Oryctolagus cuniculus: one gene and its partners. The protein of the gene in region 1 binds, or shares a complex with, the protein of each later gene. Links are inferred from orthologs where the notes say so. Each region holds a gene or a part of one and is shown on either strand. Other genes may lie near its edges.

Region 1 (10,088 bases):
GGACTGCTGACGCTGAGGGCAGCCTGGAGCAGACTGACAGGAGCTTCTGGTTTGTTTTTCACAATGGGACATAGAGCAGGGGTTAGGAACAAGAGAAGACAACAACAGTGCCAGCCACACATGGCTCACGCTTGCCATTGCCAGCCACTGCTCTGAGTGCTCAGCTCCTCTGCTTCACCGCCCAGCCTGCAAGCCCGGTGCTGGCGTCATCTGCAGAAACGGAAACCTTCCAGCGGTTGCGGCGGACTGTGTCTTCCAGACGGCCCAGAGCTCTGTCCTGCCCCTCGTTCTCTTCTGACAAGGTGACCCACGCTCCTCCCATCGAGTGGGGGCGCGGGGCCCTGGGCAGCTGTCTGCTGATCAAATGACTGGTGGCAATGACACCATCACACAATTCTAAGCACTTCCGCCTGGCTCTTTCAGGGTGCCTGCCCTTGGAACCCAGCGCTGCAGAGGGGTCCCCGTGGAGAGGAATCCAGGCTCTGGCTCACCGTCCAGGGTGGGCTCCCGACGGACAGCCAGCTACCTTGCTAGTCGAGTGAATCACGTGTCATCTTGGACGAGAATCCTCCAGCCCCGGCTGAGCCTCTCAAGCTCACGGGACACCGAACAGGAGCTGGATGAGTCACGCCCACTAAGCCTCAGCCAGCCTCCAGTGCCCAGAGCTCTGATCCGACACGGGCCGTGGGGCAGCTGGTTACGCAGCAACGGGAGACTGGACAGGCCACCAGAGAGCAAGGACTCAATCCAGTCCTCGTTTTAATGGACTCTGAACCTGAAAACGACAACTCCCTCCTTCGAATGCCCCCCTCCGCTTAGCACGTGCCCACCACTTCCCTCCACCTCTCCAGTCACGCCTCCAGTCTCCTGCACTGGCTCTGTGCCGCATGTCACCCACCCGAGCCCTGGTGCTGTTACCAGGGTGCCTGCCCCCAGCCCACCCTGGGCACTCCCGGCCACTCCCCGACCTCATGGCCATCTATCTGCTGCCCAGTGCATCTCTTCCACACATCACAGGGCAGCTCGAACTCAAAAGGCAGGAATCCTCCTCCTCCTCCCCAGCTGCTGTCTCGGGTGCTCCAGCCCGGATTCCTTTTCCTCTCCCGGGTGCCAACCACACACTACGCCCCTCATACTTCATCTCCCACGTGTCCTCTGAATCAGCCCGCTTCTCCCTCACCATTGCCTTCCCTGCACTGCTGCAACGGCCTTCTTCCCAACGCAGTCACACTTGTGCCGACTGGAGCCGGACAGGACAGGGGACCGGGCACCAGCATCGACACAGCTGTCCTGCTCACCTTAATCACACTCCCAACATGGTTCTGCTGAATCAAGAGATCTGTTAGCTCTGCCGTGTTCACAGGAGCCTTTAGGAACAGCTGGAAGGGGAGAAAGTTACTTTCAATTAAGGTCAAAGCATCATTTCTAAAAAACTTAAAATCTCATGTTCAAATGAAAATAAGGAAATTGCAATGACTCCATCAAAGTGACCTAGAAAAGCAACCCCAGGAGGAAAAGAAATTCACAGGAGTGAACGCTGAAGGGAAGATTTCAAGAAAGAGGGTCCTGGGGGTGGTCCTGGAGGGTCAGAAAAGGGAAGGAGTAGGGGAGGGAGGAAGATGGACACAGACCGCGGCGTCGGGCAGAGGTCGGAGCGCCAAAGCCATGCCGTACAGGGGGAGGAGTCGATGGAGCAGCCAGCGCTGGACAGTGCCGATGGCCCACAGCTGTAACCAAGAACTGTTGTACCCACACGTGTGGGTGTGAACTACAGAGAACAGGACAGCAGCTCACACAATGAGCGGATGAGGGAGGGACACAGGCTGCTTGAACACACTCATCGGGGGTCCGGGCGCAGAGGCAGAGGCAGGGGAGTCAGCCTGGGGAGGGGGACATTCCTCCTTCCAGGGAGGTGCACACAGGAACTCTGAGAGGATGCAGCCAGGCAGCATGCAGAATGGCCTGGCTTTTCTTAGATGAAGAAATTTACGCGTAGTAAGAAAAAGACAATACCTGCTGCAGTAATTTCTTAATTCCGTCATAATCATTATCTGAGATGGAGTAAGCTTCAAAATCAATATTCACTTCCTGTAAATAATATACAAAACAGGTCACCACACATTTTTTAAAATGACATTATTTTAAAAAGGCATTATTTTCTAATTTGCAGATTCTTTTTTCTATTTGTTCTACAGAAGATACCAGAAAAAGGACAAGAAGACAACGCTACTTGAAGAGCTATGAATGCCTGGACTTCAAACAGGTTCTCTGGGTTTGGAATCTGGCTCTGAGCTGCAGGATGTCGGGAAGAAAGCAGACCTGGCTTTTGCCTTGCGGTCGTGTGTCTATTTAAGACACTCCTTAGGCTGATCCACCTGCCAGAGCCTGGGCACCCCACCCAGCTCGCTTCAGATCCTGACTCTGAGGCAGACTCTGCCACACTGTGTGAAACCCAGGGCATTGGCTGGGGAAGCTCCACACACGGTCAAACTCAACCAAATAACAGACTGTCATTGTTCAATTTTTTTTTTAAGATTTATTTTGCTTACTTGAAACTCAGAGTCAGAGAGAGAGAGGGAGAGAAGTCTTCCATCTGCTGGTTCACTCCCCAAATGGCCACCACAGCTGGGGCTGGGCCAGGCTGAAGCCATGAGCTTCATCTAGGTCTCCCACGTGGGTGCAGGGGCCCAGGCACTTGGGCCATCCTCTGTTGCTCTCCCAGGTGCACCAGCAGGGAGCTGGACTGGAAATGGAGCAGCCAGAACTTGAACCAGTGCCCACATGGGATGCCGGCACTACCGGCAGCAGCTTTATCTGCTACGCCGCAGTGCCAGCGCCAGTATTCAAGTCTTAAATGTACCTCTAAGAAATAAATTCTTCAAATAACCTTCTCCTTGCACTTCTTCCCTGTCAGGGTAGAAGCCTCGGCTCTCTGTCCTACACTGCTGTGGCATCCCGACTGCAGCAGACGCCCCATGGGTGAGCGTCCAGAACCCTGCCCCCGAGTAGGGGTCCTCCGAGGTGTTCCAGGGAGCAGCTCTGCAGAACACAGCACTGTCTCTCTCTCTCACACTCACACACACACACACACACACACACGCTGATGCGGAATCTACAAGACTATGGCATCTAGTCCTGCTCTTCTGAATAAAAATCTCTGTTGGTATTACTGACTGTCTGCTGTAAGGAGAAACAAAGAAAAAACAAACATTCCTGTAGCAGCAGAGAAGAGCAGGGCAGAGAACCGAGGGGGGGGGGTGGGGGTGGCGCTCAGCTTCCCATCGCTCTCCTGGACAGGACCCCAGCTACTCCTAGGCCCTTTTCTCCTCCGGAGTTGTCCTCTGGGGCTTCCAGGAAGCACAAAGTCCCAGCCCCAGGATCACAGAGACTAACTAAACACGCCTAGCCACTCAGCACTCCTTTCTGAGGTTCCCTAACACACCCTGCTGTCACTCGCCTGCTGCCCCCCTTGTCCTTTAAATCAGGCTCCTTAGGGCTTTAAATAACCACGCACAGTTCCTTATTTCCTCTATACTACAGATCAGAGGTGCAGCAGATCTCCAGTTTCTAAAGTAATTCTCATGGATTCTATACCAAGCAAATGAGCAAGCCTCCTTCAAATGAGAAAAAGGTCCACTGGGTGCACACGGGGAACTGACTAGAAGTTTCTTCAGTCCAAAGTCATAGAGGTGGGACTGGTATTGTGGTGCACCAGGTAAAGCCACCACCTGCGGTGCCGGCATCCCATATTGGCACCAGTTTGAGTCCCAGCAGCTCCACTTCCAATCCAGCTCCCTGCTAATGCACCTTGGAAAAGCAGCAGAGGACGGCCCAAGTGCTTGGGCCCCTGCTATCTCTGTGAGGCCTGGATTTGACCTGGCCCAACCCCACCAGGCCATTGTGGCCATTTGGGGAATGAATCTACAGATGGAAGATGGATCGATCGATCAATCGATTGATCTCTCTCCCTCTCTCCCTCCCTCCTTCCATCTGACTTTCAAATAAATAAATCTTTAATAAAAAAAAAGTCACACAGGCTTGGGTGTTTGGCACAGGGGCAGCTTGGGATGTCATACCCCATATTAGAGCACCTGAATTAAGTTCCGGCTTCAATTTCAATTCCAGCTTCCTGCTACTGTACACCCTGGAGACAGCAGGTAATGGCTCCAGTACCAGGGTCCCTGCCGCCCATGTGGGAAGCCCAGACTGAATTCCCAGCGCCTGGCTTTGACCTGGCTATTTTTGGGGAGTGACCCAGTGGACAGGAGATCTCTCTCTCTTTACTTTAAAATAATTAAGAAAAAAAAAAATCATACATGTCAGGGGTAAAAAAATCACAATGAGGGGCTGGCGCTGGGGCGTAGCAGGTAAGGCCACCATGGCTGGCGGTGCCGGCATCCCATATGGGCGCTGGTTCAAGTCTCAGCTGCTCCTCTTCCAATCCAGCTCTCTGCTATGGCCTGGGAAAGCAGAAGATGGCCCAAGTGCTTGGTCCCCTGCACCTACATGGGAGACCCAGAAGACACTCCTGGCTCTTGGTTTTGGATCGGCCCAACTCTGGCCGTTGTGGGCATTTGGGGAGTGAACCAGTGAATGGAAAACCTCTCTCTCTGCCTCTGCCTCTCGGTAGCTCTGCCTTTCAAATAAATCTTAAAAAAAAAAAAATCACAATGAGAGCAGAGTTAGAATTATAAAGTCTTATAACATCCCCCACTCCAGATTACTGTCAACATAAGTCATTCTTTCAAAAGTCGTCAATACACAATCAAATGCGCCTTGTTTCGTAAGTGCCCCGCAGACTGCACAAGCTGTTCTCCCGTAACCTGCCACGCAGCCCCGGCTGTAAAATGATGGCAGTCCCGGCTTCATGGATGATGTGAGCGTTCAACGAGTTCACACAAAACACGGAGACCGGAGCAGCAGGCACTGCTGTGAGTACTACTGAGGGTAACTCCTCACCAGCAGAACTGATCAGGGCATGTACGGAGTACATGAAAAAGCTCATGGATTTAAAAGGCTAGTCTATTTTGGTGCAAAAAAAATCTGAAATCCATGCAGTTTTTTGGGAACACATTTTCACGAACTTTCTGAAGCCCTCCTTGCAGGCATGGATTTCAAAAATTTTTTAAGATTTATTTATTTATTGAAAGTCAGAGTTGCACAGAGAGAGAAGGAGAGGCAGAGAGAGAGAGAGAGGTCTTCCATCCGCTGGTTCACTCCCCAATTGGCTGCAACGGCCGTAGCTGGGCTAATCCGAAGCCAGGAGCCAGGAGCTTCTTCCAAGTCTCCCACGCGGGTGCAGGGGCCCAAGCACCTGGGCCATCTTCTACCACTTTCCCAGGCCACAGCAGAGAGCTGGATCAGAAGTGGAGCAGCCGGGACTTGAACTGGCGCCCACGGGGGATGCAGGCATTGCGGGCAGCAGCTTTACCCGCTACATCACAGCGCTGGCCCCGAATTTCAAAATTTTTTATCAAAATATATTTCAGTTCCACTTTTTAAAAATTTATTTATTTAAAAGACACAGTTGCAGAGAGAGAGAGAGAGAGAGAGAGGCAGAAACAGAGTCTTCCATCCCCAGATGGCCGCAGGGGCTGGGCTGCACCAGGCCCAGGACAGGAGCCCGGGGGCCGGGGTCCAGGCTCTCCGGACGCCCTCCGCGGCTCTCCCAGGCGCAGGGGAAGCCGAGCAGCCGGGCTGTCACCGCCGCCCGACCCGCTGCGCCCCGGCGCCGGCCCGGGTCCCACTTCCCGCGCCCTGACGCCGTTCCAAATCCGCCAGATTCGTCATCGCAGACTCCCAGTGCCTGTTTGGCATCTGTGATGGGTGCCAGCCACACGGATGTTTAATCCCAGACGGCCCCACGGACAATGCAGGAAGCACCCCAAGTTAGCAAAGCACAGCTCCCAGTGACGAACAACGGGGGCGGCGGAGGAAGGGCGCCCCTCACCCACGCTCCTCCCGGCTTCCACCCTCCGCGACCTCGTGCCCGTCCCGGCCTCCCGCCCGCTCCCACGCGCCCATCCCCGCCGCCTCTCCGTCCCTCGGCCGTGAGGACGCGCGGGGCACGGCCGGGCTCCCGCGCAGCCGGGACAGGACGGACTCCGAGGCCCCGCCGCCCCACCAGGCAGCGAACCATCCACAGCCCCCAGGGACGCTCACGGCGGGCATCCGGGCAGGAGCCGCCGGGTGGAGAAGGCTGCAGCCGCCGCCACACACCCTCGGGGACCGCCTCGCCGCGCGGCCCACACCACGGGCCCACGGCCTCGGTCGCCACAAAGTTCTCTCTCAGGTGTAAATCTAACCGGGGTAGCAGGTGCTTCTCACCTCGTCAACGATCTCGTCGTCCTCATCCTCTTCTTCGTCGCTGTCTTCCTCATCTTCGTCCTCATCCTCAACTTCATCTTCCTCCTCCTGCTCATGGCGCTGGACCGGGGCGCCAGGCGGCCGCGGGACCCCATTCCCGACTGCTCGCCGCTTGGACCTGGACGCCATGTTGCCCCCCCACCGATGCACACTGCGCCTGCGCACCTCCCTGTCCTTTGACCTTCCGGATTAACGCATACCGGCTAAGGGGGTGGACCATTACAAAGGACGCCGGCGCAGAGGCCACGTGAGCCCCAGTAACCCTAATGGAGTCCAAAGACATATGAGCCCCAGTAACCCTAGTGGATTCCAAAGCCATGAGCTCTCAAAGTCGGGCTTTTCTATCTCCGCTCCTTTTCACTCCAAGGTTTCTCCTCCCCTTCGCGCAGTGGTTCGACCCACCCCGCGCGTGCCTCCTTCCGGCGGCCGAGTTGCCAGTGCGCACGCGCGAGCGCCCAGCTGGGCCAGGCGCGGGCAGTCTGACGCCTGTGCTGGGGTCTGGACGTGCGGGGGTCTGGACTTGCTGGGACTCGGCCCTCGCTGCGGTCCGCGCAGCTCAGACTACGAGGGGAAGGGGCCGGTCACCCCGCGTCGTCGCCCCTGCGGCCTCCTCGCTGGGTCCGCGCGACACCCGGGCAGTGGCCCTTCTCAGCGCGTTCAGCCTCACCTGCCCGCGAGGTAGGTGTCCTGCCCGCGGAACCTGTGACATGGAGCCCGGCGACGCGTCCTGGCGACGTGGGACCGCGAGTCCGGTCTGGCCCCGGCTCCTAGGTCAGCGGGCCCGTCCCGATGCCCCCGCGCGGCCTCCCCCACAGCCGCTGGCACGGGCTCGCCCGGGACCGAACCCCTGGCCTTGCTGACCCTCTTGGCCTGCAAGTTTTTCAAGACAGGAGCCAGCCCTGACATGCGTGGGGGTGCGGGGGGCGGGCGCGCGGGGCCTGGGCGCCCTGCCGGCGCCTGCTGGGAGGCGGTGACGGCTCAGGTCCTTGGGGCCCTGCCACCCCTGCTGGACACCTGGATCGAGGTCGGGGCTCCTGGCTTCAGCCTGGCCCAGCCCCCGCTGCGGCCGGCGTTTGGGGTGTGAGCCAACGAGTGGGTGGGCTCTCTTGCTCTCTCTCTCTCTCTCTGCCTTCCAAATAAATAAAAGAAAAAAAGACCCAGGAGAGAGCGCGCTAACGTATCGATAGAGTTGTGTCTTGAGTGATTCTTCCCATTTCTTCATACCTTCTTATTGTAAAATATACGTAACAAAAGTTACTGTTTTAACCATTTCTAAGCTCAGTAGCGTTAAGCATGTCCGCATTGTGCAGCCATCACCACCATCCGTGCTCACAGCTTCCCTTCCTGCAGAGTTGGGTTCTGTGCTCATTAGAGAGCATCCCTGGGCTCCTCCCCTGCCCGGCCGTGGCTGTGAGGTCGCAGCTCTGGGACCCTCAGCAGGAGCAATCAGGACTGGCCCTCTTGAGGCTGGGCAGGATGTCTCCAGGTCAAACGGTGTTACCCCGTGTCTGGATTCCCGTTGTGTGTGTGCACCACATTCCGTGTATCTTTGTGGACACTGGGCCGCTCCTGTGTTTAGCTGTGGCCAGCACGGTTGCACAGACATCTCTCCCTCTTTCAGTTCTTTGAGGCCTGTACCTATTCTGTTCTGCTTTTTATTTTTTGAAGAACTGCACTATTTGGTAGTTTGCACATTTTGCACAGTGACCAAGTATCGTTTTGCTAGAAGTGGAGGAGGCTTTGTGCCCTGGGTTCCCCGCGTTGAGCCTGTGGTCAGAGTGTGAATTAGAGCAGCGATGTGATGGCCACTTGTGTTCTCAGTCAACAAAATACGGTAGGGGCTGGCGCTGCTCCACTTCCGATCCAGCTCCCTGCTAATGGCCTGGGAAAGCAGTAGAGGAGGGCCCAAGTGCTTGGGCCCCTGCACCCACGTGGGCGTCCAGGAAGAAGCTCCTGGCTTCAGTCTGGCCCATCACTGACTGTTGCGACCATCTGGGGAGTGAACTGGCAGATGGAAGATCGCTCTGTGTCCCTCCCTCTCTCTCTGTGACTCTGAGTTTCCAATAAATAAATAAATCTTTAAAGAAAAGAAAATGTGGATCTCTGTGTGCCGGAGCCTGGAACCACGGCAGGAGCGGTAGGGGCTGAGTGGCGCACAGGCCATCCTGTGGCTGCTCCTCCAACAGCTTGTGGTCCCCGCACCTGCTTGCTGTGTGCCCTGGAAGGATTTGTGCTTTACCAGACAATGTCAAGGTTGGGATGGGTGGTGTGGCGCAGTGGGTTAGCCACCATCCACGATGCGGGCGTCCCATATCAGAGCACCAGTTTGAGCCCCGGCTGCTCTGCTTTCGATCCAGCTCCCTGCTAATGTGCCTCAGAAGGCAGTGGAGGATGGCCCAAGTGCTTGGGCCCCTGCACCCACGTGGGAGACCTGGATGGAGCTCTTGGCTCCTGGCTTCTGCTTGGCTCCAGCCTCTGCTATTTGATTTACTCCATTTGTGGAGTAAATCAGCAGATGGAAGATTCTCTCCTTCTCTCTCCTCTCTCCTCTCTCCCCTCTCTCCCCTCTCTCCTTCTCTCTCCCTCTCCCTCTCTCTGCTGCTGCTGCTTGGCGATGCCAGATTCCTGGACTCCCCGGGTTGGAAGGCATATTAGATCAAGCAGAGGGAAACACTTAGGACTTATAAGAGTACTCCAAAAAATTTGTGGAAAATAAAATTTAAAAAGTAAGCTTATTTTGGTGTCAGATTTTTAAGTCCATGTATATCAGGAGTTTTCAGAAAGGTCATTATGAAAAAAAAACAACCCTGCCCCAGCATGTCTGAATTCACGGTGCAGGTCATCCAGGAGGGCAGCTGACAGCGAGGGCTGTGGAGTGTCCACAGGTGGGGTCTCTCCCTCGGGGGAGCCGCAGCTCCGCCCTTGCTGAGGCCTCTGGACCGATGAGTGAGGCCCAGCCGCACAGCCCAGCATGGCCTCCTTCTTAAAGCCCACCAATGGAGGGCTGGACCATGCCTCCAGAGGACCTGCAGGGCACACCTCAGTGAGCGTTGCAGACAGCTGTGATCCGGCCAGTGCGACACGTGAGAGTGCCCGTCACCCATGCTGGACCCTGACTGCATTTTCAGTAACCAGAAAATGATGGGAACCACAACTGCTCCTCCCCGGAGCGCCCCGTCTCAGCCAACACCTCGTGGAAGCAGGCAGACCTTCACCGAGGCTTCGTTGTTGGTGGAAGCAGGCAGAGCTTCACCGAGGCTTCGTTGTTGGTGCAGGGCAGTTCCTTCGAGCCGGATTTCCCTCCGATGTTCCACAGATGCTGCAGTGGTCCAGACCCAGTCAGGCAGGCCCTGAGGAGTGGCGCCCAGCGTTCGCGTCCACTTCCAGCAACGCACCCCACTGACTCATCAGCCACTGCGGAGTGTTCGTTGAGCAGCTAACCGCTGGCTAGGATGCTGTTACGAACGATCAGCATCATTTCTTTTGAGACCTTGGGTGGTCGTAAAGTGCTTCCCTCAGTACTCGGATGTGATGTTGCTGGTTGAAGAGCACTGGGCTCATCCTAGCCTGCGAAGATAATTCCTGTGAATATTTTGGTACATTTTCTTTCATATGTATGTGTATATGTAAGACTTACAAAGTCATACTGTTTGTGTAGTCCTGAACCCTGCTTTGTTTACTTTTATTTGTGATTATGTAATACTTGTGGGTATCTTCATGAC
Region 2 (10,263 bases), on another chromosome or scaffold:
GAAGACAGCGAAGCTTGAAGAGCCAAGAGTTCCGCCAGGACCAGAACCCAGGTCTCCCCACAACTGAAGGCAGCCAGCCGACAAGGCAGCGAGGTGGGGGAATAAAGACTACAAAGGGCCTGGGCAGGGGAGAAGCAGCCGTTACGTGGTGTGAGGTTCCCAGCACACGGAACCAGAGCTAGTTCCTAGCTGAGCAACCCTGGCAAGCAGCCAGACACAGCGCAGGTGCTCAGCTGGCAACGCCTTTCACCTCCACCCTTGGATCAGCACACTTCCAAAAAGTGACTCCATGTGATTGACAGAATAATGTAACACCCCCAGCACCAGGCAGCTGCCGGAGACCTAAACGCTCATCTTGGACTCTGGCAAGCAGAGGGCAGGGATCAACAGAGTGTGTGTGGGTGAGGGGTAGGCAGCCGGGCTAGGTGGAGTGTTGCCTTCTCTCCTATCCTTGTAAGGGCTAAGCAAGTGGAGAGGGCAGGGTTCATGCGTCACTCTCTCCTCAATAAGTTCTTATGGAGGAGGTGCTCAACACAGACACAGGTAAGGAACTTTTTGTGCTCATCTCATGGAAGACAAAAACCAGAAAATCAGGTGCCAGGCACAACGGTACAGAAGTAGTACTGCAGAGGAGAGGCAAGGGGACAGGAGCCATGGCTTCAGAAGCCTGTGCGAAGGGCCCAAAGCTGACCCCCATCACGTCTGGGGAGGAAGGGGGAGTGGGTACTCTGCAGCTAGGGAGGGCAGGCACAAGACGGGACAAGGGAGGTCAAGACAAGAGTGAGAAAGGAGGCTCTGTGTTATGAGGAAGGGCAGCCCCCTTGAGTGGCTGCAGAGGGTCCTGGGAGCCTGGGACAGTGGAACTGGCCAGAGGCAGAGAGATGTGCTGGGCCAGTGCTCTCAGCAGGCAGCTGTCCACAGGCCCCTAAACCAGGTCAGTGATGACAGTGGGAAACCAAATATAAAAGAGAGAAAGCATCAGCAGAACGAGCAACTGAGTGAACGTGGAGAGAGACAGAAAGGCTGAGCGAGCCCTGGGCGGCTGGGGGCGGGACAGCCCGGGGAGGCTTCAGGAGCCTCAGCTGTTGGCCAATTAGCAGGTCTCGGCCCTGGGCGCCAGACCTATACCCCTGAGGCCTCCAGAAAACCAAGACCCAGAAACTGCCCTGCACTTTAGGCTGGGGGCTTTGGGTCCAAAAAGGTTCCCTCCCATGCCTCGGCCCACCAGGAAGACGCCCACCAAAAGCACGCCTCCTACTCCGACAAGGAATGGCAGGGGCGCGCCCACAATCCACACGACGACACGGGCAGGCTGGGGTTCTCAGCAAGCATGGACTTCCCCACTGCCCCTGACCTGCAGCTCACTAACGAGGGCAAACCGAGCAGCTCCAGGGCAGGATTGAAGTCAACCCAGCTCCTCTCTCGCACAGCGGCCCGCGGAGGCTTCCGCAGGCCCTCACATACCATTGCCTTGGCCTCCACTGCACCTGGCACAAAGCGCTGCCTAGGAAGCACTTAACCACTTACTGCCTCCAGCGCTGCGACCCAAGAGGAAACGCTGCACACTCGAGTGACCAAGCCTCCAAAGGCTCTGCGGCTGAAAAACATCCCACGCGGGGGGTTGCTTAACAGCAGCAGTTATTTCTTCATATTGGTTCTTTCCTGTTGTTCCAAGAAGCTCCCCAAGCTCCGCAAACAGTTTTAGAACAGGCTACGGGGCCAGCTGCACACGATCTATTCATTGGAAACAATTCACAAGGCTCCCATACAGAGTTGGGCTATGTAATGACAATTCTCCCTCCAAGTCATATACATTCCAAACACAAGCTTATTTATCATGCAGGCAACGAAAGGGTTAAAAGAAAAGTTAGAGCACTCTTCAGTCCCGGAAATATCATAAGATTATCAGCACTGTTGATGTGCCCAAGTGGCTTTACAGATGGGAACATTTCTCTGAATTACAAAGGTGCCCTGCTTCATCGTAATACGACTGATGACAATTCAGTGTGCCACAGCCAAAGCACCAAGACCGCAGAAGACATTATTCTGTGCTGCCCTGCTGACTTCAGTGACAACATAACAAAGCAACAGACTTTATCTAGCCACACTCACGGTTTTTCCGAAGTGACACTTTAGACTCTGTATGGCTCCTTGTTAACCACAAAACTAACACTCTCTCTCTCACACACACACACACACACACACACGAGCGATACAACTGCAAGTCAGGTGCAACACCACGAAACCCAAACACAACAACACAAGTTTAATTTAACTCGGGGAACTAGGCCTCGGCTGCCTCATCCTCCCGCAGTGATGAACAAGGTTCAGCACATCCATTCAGAACTCCTGGGTCGTCCTCCTTCTCCGGCTGACTCCGTGAATACAACGCATCCAAGATGAAAAGGGAGGACCCCGGTACTACCTACTGAAGCAGGAAGAAAAGAAATTAAAATAGTTTTCTCATTGTGTCTCAAGTGTGTCCAGTGAATAGTAAGAATAAGGGCACGATGGTGCACTTTTAAATTATCTTTGTTGCCAGGCTGTTCCTTGGACTTTCAGAAGCATGAGGAATTCTCTGTTCTGATGGGTTGTGCAGGATGTACATGGTCTGCCCTGACCTTGAACACAGGGCAGGATGGCTAAATATGTGCACTGTTGGGAGATAGGGCTGGGCGGGGGAGGCAGGGACTCAGGATAAGGTGACTCCTGTGGTAGCAGGACAGCTGGAGAAACTAAGCAGGGAGAGCTGGTGCTCAATCAATAACATTCATTCTGTAACACACACACAAAACAAGTAAACAAACAAAAACCCAGCCAGGCCCTTTCCTTCAGAGGTGCATGAATTTAATCTCTGGATACAAGGCTACTATTGTGGAACAAACTCCTCGTTAGGAAGAGCATGGCTGTTAGTTCTGTGTGCACACACCAAATGACTTATGAAATTAGGGACCTTCCTTTGGTAACTTAGATGCCTCCTGATAGACTTTTTTTTTTTTTTTAACTGTGGTCTTCTGGGGACACCTCCTGCAGCTCCCTGAATAATTACACACAATATACCAAAATCTTCTCTCCAAAAACTGCTAAGACAGGAGCAGGTGTATACTCCAACAGACAAGGTTTCAGGGACCTGAAGTACACGAAGCTTCACCCCAGAGATCATGTTTTGCTTTTTTTTTTCATTTGCAAAGCAAGAATGTCAAAGGACAGAACCACCACTGCCCCAGCCCAGACTGCCTGCCTCCCTGCCAGCAACAGAAAAGTCAGCATTTTAGTCCCCACCCTGCCCCCCCACAACTGCAGGGTCTACGGGGCGGGGTCCAAGTCCCAAGTCGGGCTGGAAGACACGGGGCAGTTCTTGGTAAGCTCCTCCACCAGCTCACGGTGCCTGGCTGCCTGCCTGCCTGGCTTGCTTCCTTGCCAAGTTACTCACGTTGAAAGGTCGGTGCAGCCAACAATGGCCACCCTCATCCTCCCAGGAGGACAGCCAGCATTTAATAATCTGAGCTTTCCGTCCTGGGGTGCTTCAGGACTCCAACCCCTACCCACCATCCTGAATGCCAAGTGGTTACAATACAAATGCTTACACACATAGTCTTTATGGAAATGGGCTGCAAGTGCGCTTCCAGCACTTCCTCGTACTCTTGTCATACAAGCTACAAGCCTTTTTTTTTTTTTTTTTTTTTTTTTTTTGAAAGCAGATCCGCACTTAAAGAGCTGGTCGGAGCCTGCAGAAGCTTCTCTCTCTGGGCACACGGGGAGCCGTCCCTCTCGGTCCGGCTCAGCCCCAACAGCCGGCGCCACGGACGACCGGCGCGTTTCTCCAGGAAGCCTCGCTCACTCCGAGGAGGCGCGCTCGGGTCTCCTCGCTGGCGCTCGCGGCCTCAAGGCGGACACCTGGACTCCGCAGGTTCGTCGCTCTCCTTCGCGTCCCGAGATCTCAGCGCCAGGAGCCCGGGACCGGGACACCACGCGGGGCCCACGCGCCTGGAGGCCAGCCGCTGCGCCGCTATCCAAGTCCGCAAGACCCGTCGGGGCTTCCCGCCCACGCGGTAAGCAAGTTTGGTTTCCCAAAGGGGTAAGAATCGGGTCCCGCAGACGCTTTCCGAGAGACACGCGCGCACGAGCCCCTCGCTCGGCTCCTGGGCTGCCCTCGGTGTGTCCACGGCGGACAGCGAGTCCACCGACAGTCAAGGCTGTCCCGCCCCTCTCCGTACAGCCCAGACCCTGGCTCTGCGCCCAGGCAGCGCCCCGCCCCTGCCCGCAACTTGCAAGCCTCGGACCGCTCCGTCTCCAAGTGCGCCCGGCGGAACCGCCGCGTTCGAATTCGCGCTCGGCCCGCCAGAGCCCGCGGGAGCGTAGGGGCGAGCCCGAGACCGCCAGCAAGGCCAGTGCGGTGGGGCCTCCGAGCGGGCCCGGAGCGGGCCCGGAGGCGCTCTCGGCGCACTCCCGGCCTCCCTGCCTGCGCCTGCCCCGCGGGACGCGCCGAGCAGGAACTCGCTCCACTTTGCCAAGCCCCGGCCGCAGTCTCCGGAAAGTTGTAGCCTTCTTTCTCTCTCCGGGCGGGCGGCCGAATCGTGGAGGGAGCAGGAGGCGAAGGCAGCCCAGGACTGGGGCACCTGTCCGCGCCTCCACTTCGGTCCCCGCTCCCCGCACCTGGCTCGACCAGGACGGGCGCACCGCTCGCTAGGGGCGGACCCCCGAGGGCCGAGCGTGCGGTTCGCCCCGGCCGCCGCGGCACCCGCGCACCTTTGGAGGAGGGGGGTCGGGGACTCACCTGGGCGGTGGAAGAGGCGGCGACAGAGGCAGGTCCTTGGCGTGGGCAGCCCCCAGCAGGAGCGGCGCGGTCACTGCAGCCCCCAGGCAACGGCACCGAGTGAGCCGTCCAGCCGCCGCCCCCTCCGTTCTTATACGGCCTGGCCACGCCCCCGCCCGCCGCCGCGGCCGCCGGGCCCCCGCCTCTAAGCCTGCCCTCCTGGGGGAGCCAGGGGCGGGGCGGGGCCGGCGCAGGCCCTCGGGAGGAGTCGGCCGGCGCGCTGACGGCGGGGGCGGGGCCGGCGCTGCCCTCTGATTGGCCGCTCGGGTGAATGGTTGCCGAGAGACGAGTAAATCTTCTGCGGCGGGGAGGGGCGGGGCGCGGCGCGGCAGCCTTGCGCAGGCGCAATAGAGAGGGGCTGTGTCTGCACCCCTGACTTCGGCGTTTGCCGGGACGGCTCTCTCCTTTCTGCCCTTCCCCTCGCAGGGTAACTCGACCCCCCCCCCCCAACAAGCTTCTCCCGCCTCCAGTCCGGTCCCTTGCAGCCTGCCTCTCTTACGTTTCTCCGGGGCTTTTCGCACTGGTCCCCCTTCCTCCAGCAGCGGACCATGAGGTGCCCATGCCTGCATCCGGCGCTGTGCGTGAAGTTGGAAGAAGTGTGGCTTGAGGGCCCTGGGAACCTTTGGGATTGCGCAAGCCCCGCTTGGCTGGGGCTGGGGCTGGGGTGGGGGTGGAGGCGTGGTCACGGGGGCGCGGTGGGTGAGCAGGCTGCAGGGCCCACCTGTGGGCAGTTACTGGGCTTGAGGGCCTGGGGAAGCCGCGGCCAGCCCCGCACCCGGAACGCCTCGGGGCTCAGCCGTGTGTGTTACATAACGTGCGGGCGGGGCCTGAACGCCGTCCATTCACCCGCAGGGGGCGGCGTCCAGCCCAGGGCCAGCATTCAGACTCGCTGGGGTTGGCATCTCCGTTCACCACCAGCGTTAAGGCCCTGGGTGAGCAACCTAAAGGACTCTCCACAAGCCTCCACTTCCTGGCTGCAGGCTGGGACCCAGCCTGGGACGGCTTCGAAGGGTCGGACTAGTGCTGAGTCGGAGCTCCCTGGGTTTGGAAAAGTTGATCAGTGCAGCGTCTGGTATAAGGTGACCCCGTGGCGAATGCTGCTTATATCTAATGGTAGCCGTTATTCATCAACAAACAGTCGTTGAGCTGGTTTTCATCCTCTAGTAGCTGCGGAGGAAAAGTTGCAGTGTCTCCTTGCCCTCACCTCCCCCCATGTCCGTCCCTGCCTGAAATGCGTATGGTTCTCAGCCGCTGACAGCAGGCTGAGTTCTCAGATCAGTGTCTTCCTGGGAGTCCCCAGGAGCTGTAATGGGATAGGACCGCAGGTTGAGGTGCTTGTAAGAAAAGCCACAGTGGCCCTATTGTTGGTCCCAAAATGAGGATGTATGGTCTGGTATTTTTTCACCGTTTTTGAGGAATAGCATTAAGTAAAGTGCACAAATCGTGAAGTGTGCAGAATGATGATTTTTTTACACACGTGTGCAGCCACGTACCTGCCACCCAGATCCACATACAAAACCGTGAGGTTCACTCTTGTGTCTAACAGTGGCTCGTTCTTTTTCATTACTCTTTATTACTTCATTCTATAAATATTCGGTCATTTGAGTTGCATCAGATATTGACTTTTCAGGAATGAAGCGGCCTGAACACTCTTACACGTCTTTTGGTCGACATAGCAAAATCATTTATGTCAGTTATACACCCAGACTGGAATTCCTGGTTCCTGGAGTAAGCCATGTGAAGCTTTAGATATATTGCCAAACAGTTTTCTAAAGTGGTGTAACAATTTATGTTCTAACCAGTGATGTGAGATTTCTCGAAGCTCCACATCTTTGCCAGTATTTGTACTGTCAGTCTTTCGAGTTTACGAGAAGGGAGGAGGGGTGTGTATTTCATTCTGATGTAAATTTGCATTTCTCTGATGATCGATGATGGTGAACAACGTTTTAGATGCGTCTTGCCATTCTGGCACCTGTTGAATGAGGTCTCTGTTCAAGGCTTTTGCCCATTTTGGGGGAGGTGTCTGTCTCATTGATGTGTAAGAACTCTGTATATTCTCAATACGGGTCCTTTGTCCAGGGCATTATGTATTACAAATATCTTCAATCAACCTATGACGTGCTTCTTATTTTAATGTTATCATTGATAAACATAAATTCTTTTTTAAATTTTATTTATTTTTATTTGAAAGGCAGAGTTACAGAGAGGGTGAAGCAGAGGCAGTTAGGGAGAGAGAGAGATCTTGCATCCTCTGGTTCATTCCCCAAATGGCCTTGATGACTGGAACTGGGCCAGTCCGAAGCCAGGAGCCAGGAGCTTCTTCTGGGTCTCCTGTGTGGGTGCAGGGGACCAAGCACTTGGGCCATCTTCTACTGCTTTTCCAGGCACAATAGCAGGGAACTGGATTGGAAGTAGAGCAGCTGGGACTTGAACCGGGGCCCATATGGGATGCTGGCACCACAGGTGGAGGCTTAACTCACAATTGCTGCAGTGCCAGCCCACAACATAAATTCTTAATTTTAAAATTTATGAATCTTATTTTTATGACTAGTATTTTTATGTCCTGCTTAAGTCTCTGCCTATCCTAAGGCCAAAAAGAAAATCTCCTTTGTTTTCTTCATTGCTTTCACTTTTTCTATCTATAAGGCCTTGGGTCAGTAACTTAGCCATCCTTCCATAAATTATCTCCAATCATAAAAAAATTAATACAGATTATTGCATTGGCTTTGGCCATTTCAACTGTTTCAGTGCCTCGTGGATACAGTTAGCACAGGTGGCCTCAAGGTAGAACACAGGGCAAAAAGTCTTAGCCTAGAATTTGACCTAGCACCTTTGCTTGGCTGAAATTGTTCAACTTTCTGAACAAAATTAGGCAATTATATGGTGGAGAGATCGGGAGAACCTAGCGCCAAAAAGAAATTCATTATTCATACACAGGCATAATTTTTTTCCTTGGGATATTCATTATTTGACTTGTTTTTAGATTTTGGTTTCAACTGTGTGCTTTTGCTTTTTTTTTTTTTTTTTTTTTTTTTTTTTTTTTAATACAGTCTGTTCTTTCTACCTCATAAAACCATGGCATCCTGGAGCTGGAAGGAGTATTAGAAAGTACCCACGTCCTGCCTATCGGACAGGACAGGGAACCAGATATTGAAACTGTCCAATATACTGTGCCTCCTTGCCAAATTCCGGACCCTGCTGAAGCACTTGCAGTCAACGTGGTTTAAAAACCTCTACATTCCCGGTGGTTCACTGATTTGCACCTGGGAAAGCTGAGTGAGAGAAAAGCATTAAGGTCTTTAAGATGCAAGCATGCCTCACTTGTAGCAGTGGCCCTGAAAAACTTTGTTGTTTCAAGAAAGAAGTTTTGTACAGCGCCTAGCTGTGGCCTGATTTATCAGTTTCTTAAGTCCTGAGTGTTTGTACTACTGTATCTCAAGGTGAATCACCACTGTAGATGTTTATTCAAATACCCTTCTCTAAACATCTTCTTTAAACCAATTCTTAAGTTTTTTTATCAGTGTATGCAGATAAGGGCACAGTGTATAGAACACAGCTCAGTGAGTGTTCACAAACTGAACAAACCTATGTTACCGGCACTCAATCACAAACAAAGTAGCATCAAAGCCTTCCCTGGCAGATTTTAAAACCACCACAGAGGCACTGTCTGTGCTCTGGTGGGGCCAAGACATGACTTGGCTTTCTAATTCCCACCAGCACTCTCTCCAGGAAATGCCCATCTCTTCTCGGACTTCCTCAAGCAGTATTCTTGGGTGTTTCAGAAAGAGAATGAGATTCAGAGAAAGAAAACATTAGCCTATTTTTTTTTAAAGACTTATTTATTTTATTTGAAAGATTTACAGAGAGAGAAGGAGAAGCAGAGAGAGAGGTCTTCCGTCTGCTGGTTCACTCCCCAGTTGGCCACAATGGTCGGAGCTGCACCGATCTGAAGCCAGGAGCCAGCAGCTTCTTCCCGGTCTCCCACAGAGGTCCAAGGGCCAAAGGACTTTGCCATCTTCTACTGCTTTCCCAGGCCGTAGCAGAGAGCTAGATCAGAAGTGGAGCAGCTGGGACTCGAACCTGCACCCATACTGGATGCCAGTACTGCAGGCAATAGCTTTACCCGCTACACCACAGCACCAGCCCCAGAAGACATTAGTCTTATTTGGAGTTAAGTCCCAGAATGAATGGGAGGCAGGACTGGTTGGATTTGGTGGGAAAGAAAAAAGGGGGAGGTGGATCGCATCTATGGGCACAGCTCTGGCAGCCTGGCAGTCATGCAAAGACCCTATGAAGGGAATAAGACAGGGCTCCAGGAAGGAGGAGGGGGCATGGGTGACACTGTCAGAGAAAAGAAGAAGTCAAAGGTAAACCATGTGGACTTAATCGCTGCCCACCCACCCTGATGGTGTGGCTGTGGAGAAAGGGGGTGAGTCTGACTGCTTGGATCCCTGTCTCAGCCACAGTGCAACCTCGGACACAGAGCTTAACCTCTCTGAGTCTCAGCTTCCTCCTGCACAAAGGGGAAAGACAATGGCCAGGAGCCTGCTGCTTGGTGGAGGTGTGCGCTCATCGAGTAAAGTCAGGGATGCAGGCGAAAGCAGTGGCCCCGTTCACAAGATGCATCTCTTTGCCCGCCTTGTTCCCTTCTCTCACTGCGCTGTGGGGACAGCTTGGCAAGCAAGGTGGATGAGAGCAGAGGAGGGTCAATTGTCAACATCACACAGTGCTTGCCTTCTCTCCTAGGGCCCCAGAGTTCTTATCTGAGGAGTAACGTTTTTCAAATCTCCCTCCTGGTGAAAGGGATTCCATGGAAGTGTGAACTGCTAACCGATCATACCATATCTCACGAGTAACCATGGAGTCCACTCTGAACTTGCATTATTCCGAGATCCAGGCCGTCTCACTGTCAGCCTGCCCCAAGCCCTGAAACTCCCAATGCTGGAGCCCTTTCCAGTTAGGGCAGAGCCTCCTGCCATTGCTATGTAGCCTGCCTAACTGCCGGTAGCACCTAAATCACCAAGCAGGTGTAGCTCTCAGTTCACGTATTGCCCAGGCCTTGTAGGAGACTGGATTCTTAGTTGCAAAGCCATCAAATATGGTTCTGGCTGATTTCAGCAAGCTGGAATTTAAAAAGCTATGTCGAGGAGCCCACAAACTCAGCAGGATAGCTGGAGAACATGACCAGTTGGCTCTGCTTCCAGGAACAAGTCCTAAAACTCCAGCTACACAACTGGTCTGGGAAGACACCGTGACGTCATCATTGACACAGGCATCTGGTGTTGCCGCTGCTGCATCGGGATAGAGCCGTCCCAGCCCCCACCGCTGCCACCTCTAGATCATCAGAAGCCTTGTGTCTCCAGTCCCTGCTGCTTCCCACCAACCAGCAGGGTGGGCGGGTGCCTCTGACAACAGAACCCAAGAGGATGGAGCAGTGACTCATGAGC
Region 3 (10,329 bases), on another chromosome or scaffold:
GCCTTTGAAAACAGGTATGTATTTCTAGTTTACATTTTACCAAATGAATAAAACTTTTGAATGTCTCTTTAGTTTGGAAAGCAGTCTGGTCTGTGGGACTTACAACATTGATTTAAACGGCAAAAATTTCACATAGATGTCAAAACAGGAAGGACTTCTGGCATAACAGGTACTGATAACAGCACAATAAAATGAATACTGGCTAGTCTTTCTGATGAAGAATTCTACTAAAGGACATCCCTATACAAAGTTTTATTTTAAGAGTGTTGATGCAGGTTTGTACAACCCTATTTGTAGCTTACATATTGAATTTCCTCACTGATTTGTGACTGTGAATGGAATTATTTTATGTGGCCATATACTTCAAATAAATACACTTAAAATAACTGGGAAAGTACAAGATGCTCAACAGTATAGTACTGATCCATTATACGATATTCAGAGGTGAGAATGTAGCCTACACATTTGACCCCATGTGTAGTCAGAGGATCCCTTTATGCTCAACTACTTGTTCCTGATCACTTGAAGTCACTCGTGCAGATGTAGTAAACTGTTTTCAAGAGGAAAGAGTGATGCACCTTGATGAGGACAATTGAATTTAACTAACTTCTTCATAACTAGCTGTATACATAGTGAGAAAATCACCAAAACTTGTTTCATCTTGAAATTTATAACTGAATACTGGCAAGAACAGTTTTGAAGATAAAGTGAGATACTACAGGAAAAAAAGTGTTGAGATACTTAAAACTATTATTTCAACCTGTCAATTAGTAATAATTTGTAAGGAATAGGTTGAACCATTATTCCCAAACTAACCTAGAAGTTTATGACTTGGGGTGCTTCTGGTTCTTGATAGGCTCTGAGTAAACATTTGCTATTTCCTTGAAAAAACATGGGAAAAGTCATTTTGTCAAGCCCTAATTCCTTATGAAAACATGTAATTTCATTTTCAAGTGTTTTTTAATTTTTAGATGAAGCACTGTGATCAGCTGGTGCTCTATCAACACTAACTGGACAATGGGCATATCTTCAGTTTATTGTGAAATGAAGATACCTGTGTGTGCAAACCTGACAAGGAGGTACTCAGTGGTCTCAGGAATCATCAGGATTTGTCTTTGAAGGTTTCAAACAGTGGTGGTGGGAATTGCCTCAAACTCCTAATATGGCCACTGCTCTGCCTGTATGCATGCTGCTTCTGCAGGGTCATGCCACATTTCGTGGGAAGGATCAAACAGCAGAAGGGGTAGTAGGTGGAAAATCAAAGAGATAAAGGAAAGGGTTGGCATAAAAAAAGCAAGAAAGGAACACAAACATGAAGGAGATTGGCTAGTGCACTGGGTGAGAGGGAAGTAGTAGGTTTACTGGCAGTGTTCTCTGCTCTCCTCTATGTCCCCTTCAGCATGAATTTGGGAAAATAATTTCAAGCTCCTTTGCTTCTTATATTCTGAAATTCCCATGTTTGAGAAGACAGGAAGCAAACAGTGCAACAAAGGAAAGAGAGCATCATTGCTAAGTGACTTTGTGGCAGTCTTCAAACCTACTGCTGTGGTTCAGTGTGTGTGGGTTTCCTGAAAACTCTTGGTGAGCATATTGTCTAGCTCTCCACTCATTGCTGGGAGGGTCATTCAAAGCTCCCACTAGCTCCGTCAGGCTATTGTTCATTCTGGTTTTCAACTCTTGCAGGATAGAATGCCCTGGCCTGTGCAGCTATGACAAATGTGAACATCCAGAATTTGGAAAGGAAGAAGCAGTAGAGTATGGTTGCAGTCCAAAGGGAAGACTAAAAGGAATATGTAAAGATAGAGACTCCCAGAACATAAGGGGCCCAACACTGCAGGTCCAAATCAAGGTTCTGCTGCTTCTCGAAATTACTTACCCTCTTACTCCTTATGTTTATTTTTGGAAAATATATAAAGTTCTGTTTTTTAAGAAAGTTCAAAAGAAGTAATGTATAAAAATACTGAGAACACTGGCTGGTACATAATAACAACCTTAATAATAGTAACCCTCTTAAAAGCCAATACCAAATTTCTTCTTGTTAATTCTTATTTCAGTATGGATTATAACTTTTCAATCAAGATCATGTTTCTCTCAAAAATGTAAATAAGGCTTTCCTTTAAAAATTTTAAATAAAGATTCTTAGCTCCCTCAGAAATTAATCTATATTTAGACTGTCTGTATTTCAGTTTTGTGGTGGTCCTAACTTCAACTCCTGGTATGACATTGTCACTTTTTTCTTTTAAATGTGAACAAGAAAATTACTTACCAGTGAGGTTCAGGAGCTAAAGCATGAAAACCAAAGCAATCCTGTACTTCAATTTAAGAGTAACTACGCTGAAAAAGTTCCTGGCTGTGAATGTATTTGGAATTTACAACTGGATAATTATTTTGGAATTTACAACTGGATAATTATTTTGTTATCTAGAAAAAATGTTAATGCTGGCAATTGCAAATTTGCAATTTTATGTAAGGACGAATGTTTTTCCCCCGAGTGTAAATATTACCTTTCAGTAGGACAAGAAAAAAGAGGGACAATGAACAACATTGTCATTCAACAGTATGTAACAAGAGGCAGCTATGAATCGAACACATATTGATCCAAGGACTAAATTGTCCACCAAGGCACTGTCAAGCATAAGACGTCCTGAGTGCCGTAGTACAGGAGTCAGCAGGGTCTGGGTTATGGCTGGGAAGTGGAGAATGCTTAAGTGAAAGGTTTGGGGAAGTGCCAGCCACAAGTCCTGGAGGGGGGGGGGGGGCGCGGATGAGTCCTGCCCCAGGGCTGCTCAGAGGCTCCCTTCTCAGGTTCGGTAGAGTGTGACAGCATGCCCTCAATGTCCAGATTCATCTTCTGCTTCCACCTCTCAGTCATGGCCTGCATGCTAGGGAGAGGCCATGGGAGCAAGGGCAGCCTCAGCTTGGGAGAGGGTATCCACTTGGAGAAAGGGGTGGAGGGTTGTAGTAGCTGCTGTCAGGAAAGCGCGAAGTGGGGTTGGGCACGTGTGTGTCAGAACCACCTGGCAGCTTACTAGATCCACAGAATAAGATCCTGGGATGGGCACAGCTTCTGCTTTTTATTTTTTTCATTTTTAACGGAAGGTTAAGTAACTTAGAAAATAACTACAGTGGGCATAAACACTTGATTTTTTCTAGTACGCTGCATCTAATAGATGATTTTTCTGGCCATGTTTTAAAAACGGGCAGAATTCACACTGGCCACCGAAGGGAGCCAATCTATATGGGCCTTTTCCCACTTTCAAAAAAAAAAAAAAAACGTTTTGCTATTTGTACTTACCTTGTCCTCCAGCGACAAGGTATTGACAAGCCGCAGACATCCCATGCTCAGCACTGACAGAGGTATCCCTGTGCAGACCGCTAAGCACTGGCAGGCCCAGAGATGCTCCGTAACTCCCTGCAACCCAAAAGCCTTCCTTCAGTGCACCAGCAAACTCACTGCTACCCATCCTTGCTCAAGCATTCTGCCTTTCTATGTCTCCCCCTCCGGGGAGCATGCTGACAGGGACCACAGGTGCCCACTCCTCAGGCGGCGAGGGCGGCTGAGGGGCCGCGGCCGGCACGGCTCTCCGTCCTGGGACGCAGCTCCGCAGGGCGCCGGCAGGGGGCGGCGGCGTCACGCCGCTGCCGGCGCCGCGGGGGAGAGTCCCGCACCTCACGCCCCGCAGCTTCGGAGGCTAATTCCGGGCTCCCACAACTTCAGGAGCGGCGGCCGGAGTTGCGCCGGCTTTGGGGGCAGGCGCGTTCGGCTGCCTCAGCGTTCTCCCCGCAGCCGCCTCTTCCTCAACCTCCCACAGCCTCTACGTGGAGAGCAAACCGCTGAAAGAGGCGGCGAGCGGCCGGCGGGCGCGGACCGAAGTAGAGAGCGCGGGGAGCAGTCTGCAAAGGTGGGGGAGCGGGTGTGCAGGGATAGCTTAGGAGAGCGACGCTAGCAGGGGAGCCTCTGAAACGTATTTTGCACGCCGCGCCACCTCCCACTGACATGTTCATTCACTGGAAATGAGCGCATCGGGGCGGGCTACGCCGAACGCGCTTCGCCGCCTCAGCTTTCCCGCCGCGGCGCGTCAGGCCCCGCTCGGCGGCGCTTTCGTCGCCCGGGCGGCCGCGCGCTCGCTGGGGCGCGCCCGGGGCTCGGCCACTGGCCGGCCGCTCGGGGACGCGCTCGGGCCCCGCCGCGCTCCGGGCCGCCCGCGGCCGCAGCCGGACGCACGTCCGCGAGCCGCAGCACCGCCCACCGCGTCTCCGCGGGCTCGCCGCGACTTCCCCGGCGCGTTCTGAGGTTTCGGGAATCGAAACCTAGTTGTCGGCCAGCCCGCCCCTCACGTAGGGGATCGGTTTGCGTGGGACGCGTGAACTCGCTGGCCCGCACGGGAACCGAGTTCGTTCACGGAGTGTAGACAGAGTTTCCAAGACGGCATCGCTCGATCCCCAGCGCGGCAGGGACGCGGTCCCGGGCGGGATTTCTCGCTTGGGATGTTTCTGTAGTTAGGCCATTCTAGTGGGATCCGGTGACATGGATTTAGTGGGATTCATGGCCTCTCAGTCCTCGGACAGGGCGTTTTAAGTGTCTCCTTGTTTGGAGGGGCAGGGGAGGGAAGGTGGGAGAAGAGGCTTGCGTGTGGCGTACGTAATTAGCATCTGTAGAAATACACGCACGAGCGCCCGCGTCCGGAAACCCGCACAGCGCCGCGGCCGGAGCCCCCGCATTGCTGGCCGTGGACACCCCGCGCTCCCAGCTGTGGACACCCCGCGCACGGCGCGGCGGCTGCTCCGCCGGACGCCGGGGCGGGCGAGCGGCGGCGAGCGGCGGCGGCGGGGGCGGCGCCCTATGCAGATGAGGAGGGTGTGGCGAGCGCGCAGCGCCGGGGCCCCGGAAGCGCGGAGAAGCCCGGTATAAAAAAAGTACTGAAGACGTTTCCCCCGCACAACTGCTAAAGCTCCAGAGACAGGAGCGTGTGCGGCGGCGGAGCGGGAGCCGCCACCTCCGGGACCACTGCAGCGGGGGCGGCAGCGGCGGCGGCGGCTCGGGCGGGGGCGAGGGGCGGGAGTGGCGGTGCAGGCGGCGGGGGTCTGGGAAGAACGAAATCCCAGCCGCTGCCGGCGGTGCGCTAGCAGCTCCGGGCAGTGTTGCCGCCTCGCGGTTCCTCGCTCGCTGCGCTCTTAGAAGGGGCGGCCGCCTCCAGGTGACACAGACGGGACTCTCGCTTGCGCTTTCCAGATGCATCAGAGATACTTTTGGTGCGGGGCTGCTGTGCGGGGCGCGGCGGGGCACTGCTGGGGCCAGCGGGGGGTGGGGTGCGTTGGGGTGGGGTGGGGAGGGTCTCCGGGCGAGCCGAGGAGGGGCTGCGCGCTCAGACCACGGCGGGCCACTGCCTGCCGCTGTCGCGCGTCCTCACCGTGCTCCTTTCTCCCCCACCCCCGCACCCCACTTGTTTCTCCTAGGACTGAGCAGGGCCCAGTGGCGCTCGGCGGGCACTACATGGCGGAGGGCGAAGGGTACTTTGCCATGGCCGAGGACGAGCTGCCCGGCGGTGCCTACATCCCGCTGGGCGGCGAGTTGGGCGGCGGCGACGGCGGCGGCGGGCACTGCTTGGACTACTGCGAGAGCCCCACGGCGCACTGCAACGTGCTGACCTGGGAGCAAGTGCAGCGGCTGGACGGCATCCTGAGCGAGACCATCCCGATCCACGGGCGCGGCAACTTCCCCACGCTCGAGCTGCAGCCCAGTCTGATTGTGAAGGTGGTGCGGCGGCGCCTGGCGGAGAAGCGCATCGGCGTCCGCGACGTGCGCCTCAACGGCTCGGCCGCCAGCCACGTCCTGCACCAGGACAGCGGCCTGGGCTACAAGGACCTGGACCTCATCTTCTGCGCCGACCTGCGCGGGGAAGAGGAGTTTCAGACTGTGAAAGACGTCGTGCTGGACTGCCTGTTGGACTTCTTGCCCGAAGGGGTGAACAAGGAGAAGATCACGCCGCTCACGCTCAAGGTAAAGCCGCCTCCGTCGCCGACGCGCTGGGGGCCTGGGGGCCTGGGGGCTGGAGCGGGGCGGCGGGTAGGAGGCAGGGCTGGGGGCCTGTGCGGGCGCCCTGGAATGACTTTCCTGGTGACTTTGCTTTTTTCCCGCGAGTAAACCAAGCTGCGTGGACGGCATTGCGTCTTTGCGTGTACTTGGGTGCTTCAGCGCCACCGCTCTTCTCGCTTCCTCCTCTGCGCCCCGGCGGCTTCCTTTTCCCCTGGGTTTTTGACCCTTGGCTCTTCTTGCTGGAACCTTGGGCCGGGTAGATTCCGATCGGTGGAGACTGAAACGGAGTCAGTTGTTTGTGATATAGTTGGGGAAGGAGCAGCCAGCAGCAGAACTGAGTCAGTGGGTTTCGTCTTGTACCGGAAAATGTGAATAGGTTGCCTAGCTGCCTTCAGCCGAGTCTGGGAATTAGGGACGTATCTGGTGGTGCTCCGTATTGGTTCGGTGCTAAGTGTTTAGTGCTACTGTCTTCTCCTCGCCCTCCGCTCTGGCTTACGGCACGTTTTATGTAATTAGTTAAAAATTGTCCGAGGAAGCGTCAGCCTTCCAGTGTCGGACTGTAGTTCGTGTCTGATTATAACTGCACAGTAACCCTGAAGGGACCCTCATGGGATGCTGATAACGGCCTGGGGGGGGGGGGGGGGAGGGAGTAGGGGGAAGGGAACGAGGTGTCTGGGGACGGGGGTGAGAGACTAACCACTGCGTGCTCTTCTGTGTCTGTGGAATATTACCTGGACGCCGTGTGGATATGGTGCCCATTAGACTATTTTCAAAAAAAAAAAAAAAATTGCAAAAGTCAGACATGACAACAGAGCCTCTTACTGCTGTGCTGCCTCTGCCAAAAGCCTCAAACTATTACTTCTAGTCTCTTTCCCAGACAGTGAAGCTACTCGTTAAATTTTTTTTCCTGTCTTCAGAAGACTGCTTAAGCCTGCAGGTAGTGTTTTGCTGAAACTTGACAAACAAAAGGAAAAGTGCAAAATTTATTCTCAGCAATGAAGAAGTTTTATTTATTTTATTGCTTTTTCTAGGTTTGCTCATTTTCTTGTTTTATCTTTTAAATTATAGGAAGCTTATGTGCAGAAAATGGTTAAAGTGTGCAATGACTCTGACCGATGGAGTCTTATATCCCTGTCAAACAACAGTGGCAAAAATGTGGAACTGAAATTTGTGGATTCCCTCCGGAGGCAGTTTGAATTCAGTGTAGATTCTTTTCAGATCAAATTAGACTCTCTTCTGCTCTTTTACGAATGTTCAGAGAATCCAATGACCGAAACATTTCACCCCACCATCATCGGTGAGAGTGTTTATGGTGATTTTCACGAAGCCTTTGATCACCTTTGTAACAAGATCATTGCCACCAGGAATCCCGAGGAGATCAGAGGAGGAGGCCTGCTTAAGTACTGCAACCTCTTAGTGAGGGGCTTCAGGCCCGCCTCTGATGAGATCAAGACCCTCCAGAGGTACATGTGTTCCAGGTTTTTCATCGACTTCTCAGACATTGGAGAACAGCAGAGAAAACTGGAGTCCTATCTGCAGAACCACTTCGTGGGCTTGGAAGACCGCAAGTACGACTATCTCATGACCCTTCACGGAGTGGTGAATGAGAGCACAGTGTGCCTAATGGGACATGAGAGAAGACAGACTTTAAATCTTATCACAATGCTGGCTATCCGGGTGCTAGCTGACCAGAACGTCATCCCTAATGTGGCTAATGTCACTTGCTATTACCAGCCGGCCCCCTATGTAGCAGATGCCAACTTCAGCAATTACTACATTGCACAGGTTCAGCCAGTATTCACATGCCAGCAACAGACATATTCTACTTGGCTGCCCTGCAATTAAGAATCATTTAAAAATGTCCCGTGGGGAAGCCATTTCAGACAAGATGGGGGGGAAAAAAGAAAAACAAACAAAAAGAATGACCCAGCCCTGATTAGGGATGTGTTTTGTGCAATGATGATATGCTCCAGGATTTAAGCTTGGCGAAGCTTGTGGATCTTTCTGTAGGTATGGGAGCATGATCTTGAAAGATCTCCCTTCCTGACCCTCCCTTTATCCTACCCAACTGGATTCTGTCTGAAACAAAAGAGACCTGTCATTAAAAGCAACCAGGTTCTCTTAAGATAACAAGAGAAAAAAATTGCTTGATGACAATATGGGTTTGCAGTAAGTGCTCCCATAGCTTTGCCATAGTGAAGACAAAAAGTGGAAAATTTCCTTTAAAGGTGAAAAATCTTGAAAGGGAAAATACAGAGGAAAAAAAGATCTCACCTCCACTTGTTTGTGAGTTCCAGAGTTCAGATAGTAACAGTACAGGAGGGAGGAGAACTCCGATGTTGGTGTTGCTATCTGAGTTTGTAGCAAGTGTTTCTGTTGTGCGAACAGAAAGGGCTTGCTCCAAATGAACAGTAGTAGGTTGGTGCAGTTCTCACAACAAACAGCAGAATTTAAGATGACACAATCCATTAATTCCAGCTGCGTGCATAGCTCGCATTTTTAAAATGTGAAAATGCAAGCAAAAACAGCTGGGGCAAAGAAAGTATGCTCAAGGACCAAAGATTTAACAGATAACAATACCCAAGTAGAAGAGGTATAGTAAAATATATGAAGAATACTATATTTGTTACACACCAATACACATCAAAGTGCCTGTTGCCTTCTGAAAATTTGAAGTGGAAAATTGTTTTATGGTTTAATGCTTATTTTATTTTATCAGGGACTCAAGAAGAAAATAAAACAACATATAAGCTTGTGAATGGTGGAGAAAATGCCCTATTTTTTTCTTGGCAAATACGTGTATAAAGTTGACATTGTTGGTGTGATATTATAGGTACGTGTGTATTTTATGTGTATATATACACGTATCGTGTGTATACACACAATACATTGACTATGATCTACAATAATGTATCAAATAGGAAATGTTTACTATATGTTTTTATGTTTTCAACAGGATGATATGAGATATGGGCATATTGCAATGATGAGTTAAAACCCACAACTAAAAAATTAAATGAAGGAGGAAAGCAAGTAATATATTTGATAGGAAGAACAGAGATTATACATTTTTAGTGATTTTTTTTTCTTTCCTTTTTTATGAGCCAGAGAATTCCACAAATGGGAGAATATTTGTTTGGCAGAGCACTCTTTATATATTGAACTGTCATTTTGACAGTTTGAACCCCCCCCCTTTTTAATTAATTGCATGCCTCCATGGTATATAATCTAGTGGATTATGAATCAGTGGTAGGCTACTTAAATTCCTAACTGCTAAAAAGAATTTCTGGTGATCTGAACACTACTTATTAATATTTAAATGAATTTTTTAATGAATGCATTCTGCATTTCTGGACCACTAGAATTTAGTAAATGTGAAATGACCCTTTTTAAAGAGTATTTGCACAATTGCTTAAAGTTTATATATGAGATATATATTATATATAATATTTTATAAAATCATGCCAATATGAAACTTCTTTGATCTGGTTGTCACACTGCATTTAAATATTTAGTACTGTAATTAAATCATCTCTCACTAAATCAAATCCAACTTTATTTTGTCTTCTCTGGGAGACCAGTATAGCTTTGTGAAATGAACTGGCATTACCATTACAGTTTGAGAATGGCTGATCCCCAAATTGCCCTTTCTTCTCGAACCTTAATTCCTCTAGACACTGGTCTCTGAAAATGCATTTGCTAAAAATTGAACCAACACATAAAACCTTCCATTTCTGTAGTGAAACAACCACACAATCCCCATCAACCCTAGTGGACGGCTGCTTCCTGTGAAAATTCCTCTGAATACTCAACAAGAAGATTTTTGTCATCAGTTAAAGAAGGACTGGGGGAGAAAATAGCATTCACCTGTTGGCGTGCAACCTGTTTGCTTGTTTGTTATCTCGGTATCTCTCAGATGTTCAGTGCTAGGTTAATCCAGGTGAACCTACCTGAACACATTTTGTACAGCTTTCTTTGAAACCTTAACAGAAACCTAATGAGTTTGCTGTCACAGCTTCCCTGTGAATTCTCTTAGAGCTGACACAGCCCTTGTGTTGCCATCCACTGTTTTCTGGGGAACTCTTCCTGCTCCCACTTTGGCTCAGACTCCTTCACTCTAGCCCTGGGTTGAAAAATTAATTGCAATGTACCAGGAAAGATTTAATTTACAGATTAAGCCTGATCCTCACCTATCAGAAGAAACGAGAGCTCTCTGCCTGTTTAGCTGTTTGGAAGTTTTCTAAATAAAACAAAAAAACAAACAACAGCAACAAAAAATCTAAGGCAATGCT

The links.
Region 2: the proteins of BCCIP (region 1) and TENT5C are in contact, whole or in part, in a cryo-EM structure (PDB 8EQB), measured with the Homo sapiens proteins. The link is inferred for Oryctolagus cuniculus from reciprocal best matches to the Homo sapiens genes BCCIP and TENT5C. Residues at the interface, in NP_510868.1 of Homo sapiens: Val57, Asn58, Ile59, Glu60, Phe61, Glu62, Ala63, Tyr64, Ser65, Arg136, Gln146, Cys153, Lys155, Ala204, Gly205; in NP_060179.2 of Homo sapiens: Asp90, Asp92, Glu102, Gln106, Arg109, Lys135, Glu136, Val139, Gln140, Lys141, Leu142, Val143, Lys144, Val145, Cys146, Thr147, Asn164.
Region 3: the proteins of BCCIP (region 1) and TENT5A are in contact, whole or in part, in a crystal structure (PDB 8EXE), measured with the Homo sapiens proteins. The link is inferred for Oryctolagus cuniculus from reciprocal best matches to the Homo sapiens genes BCCIP and TENT5A. Residues at the interface, in NP_510868.1 of Homo sapiens: Val57, Asn58, Ile59, Glu60, Phe61, Glu62, Ala63, Tyr64, Ser65, Leu66, Gln146, Val149, Leu150, Phe152, Cys153, Glu154, Lys155, Asn156, Cys157, Glu158, Lys159, Glu163, Lys167, Leu203, Ala204, Ala206, Thr225; in NP_060103.2 of Homo sapiens: Arg87, Gly88, Asp139, Glu151, Gln155, Lys158, Lys184, Glu185, Val188, Gln189, Lys190, Met191, Val192, Lys193, Val194, Cys195, Asn196, Asp199, Trp201, Asn213, Arg289, Lys295, Glu331, Arg334, Gln341, Asn342, His343.

The regions. Positions count from the first base shown.
Region 1 is NC_091446.1:5,834,232-5,844,319, forward strand, and holds the start of BCCIP (BRCA2 and CDKN1A-interacting protein), read right to left. Parts: upstream 6,536-10,088; 5' UTR 6,496-6,535; coding exon 6,328-6,495; intron 2,884-6,327; exon of another isoform or gene 2,196-2,883; intron 2,089-2,195; coding exon 2,014-2,088; intron 1,380-2,013; coding exon 1,299-1,379; intron 1-1,298. UniProt on the Homo sapiens protein: During interphase, required for microtubule organizing and anchoring activities. During mitosis, required for the organization and stabilization of the spindle pole.
Region 2 is NC_091438.1:52,809,185-52,819,447, forward strand, and holds the start of TENT5C (terminal nucleotidyltransferase 5C), read right to left. Parts: upstream 5,036-10,263; 5' UTR 4,778-5,035; intron 1-4,777. UniProt on the Homo sapiens protein: Catalyzes the transfer of one adenosine molecule from an ATP to an mRNA poly(A) tail bearing a 3'-OH terminal group and enhances mRNA stability and gene expression.
Region 3 is NC_091436.1:90,750,347-90,760,675, forward strand, and holds the start of TENT5A (terminal nucleotidyltransferase 5A), read left to right. Parts: upstream 1-5,079; 5' UTR 5,080-5,233; coding exon 5,234-5,253; intron 5,254-5,457; coding exon 5,458-6,001; intron 6,002-7,105; coding exon 7,106-7,882; 3' UTR 7,883-10,329.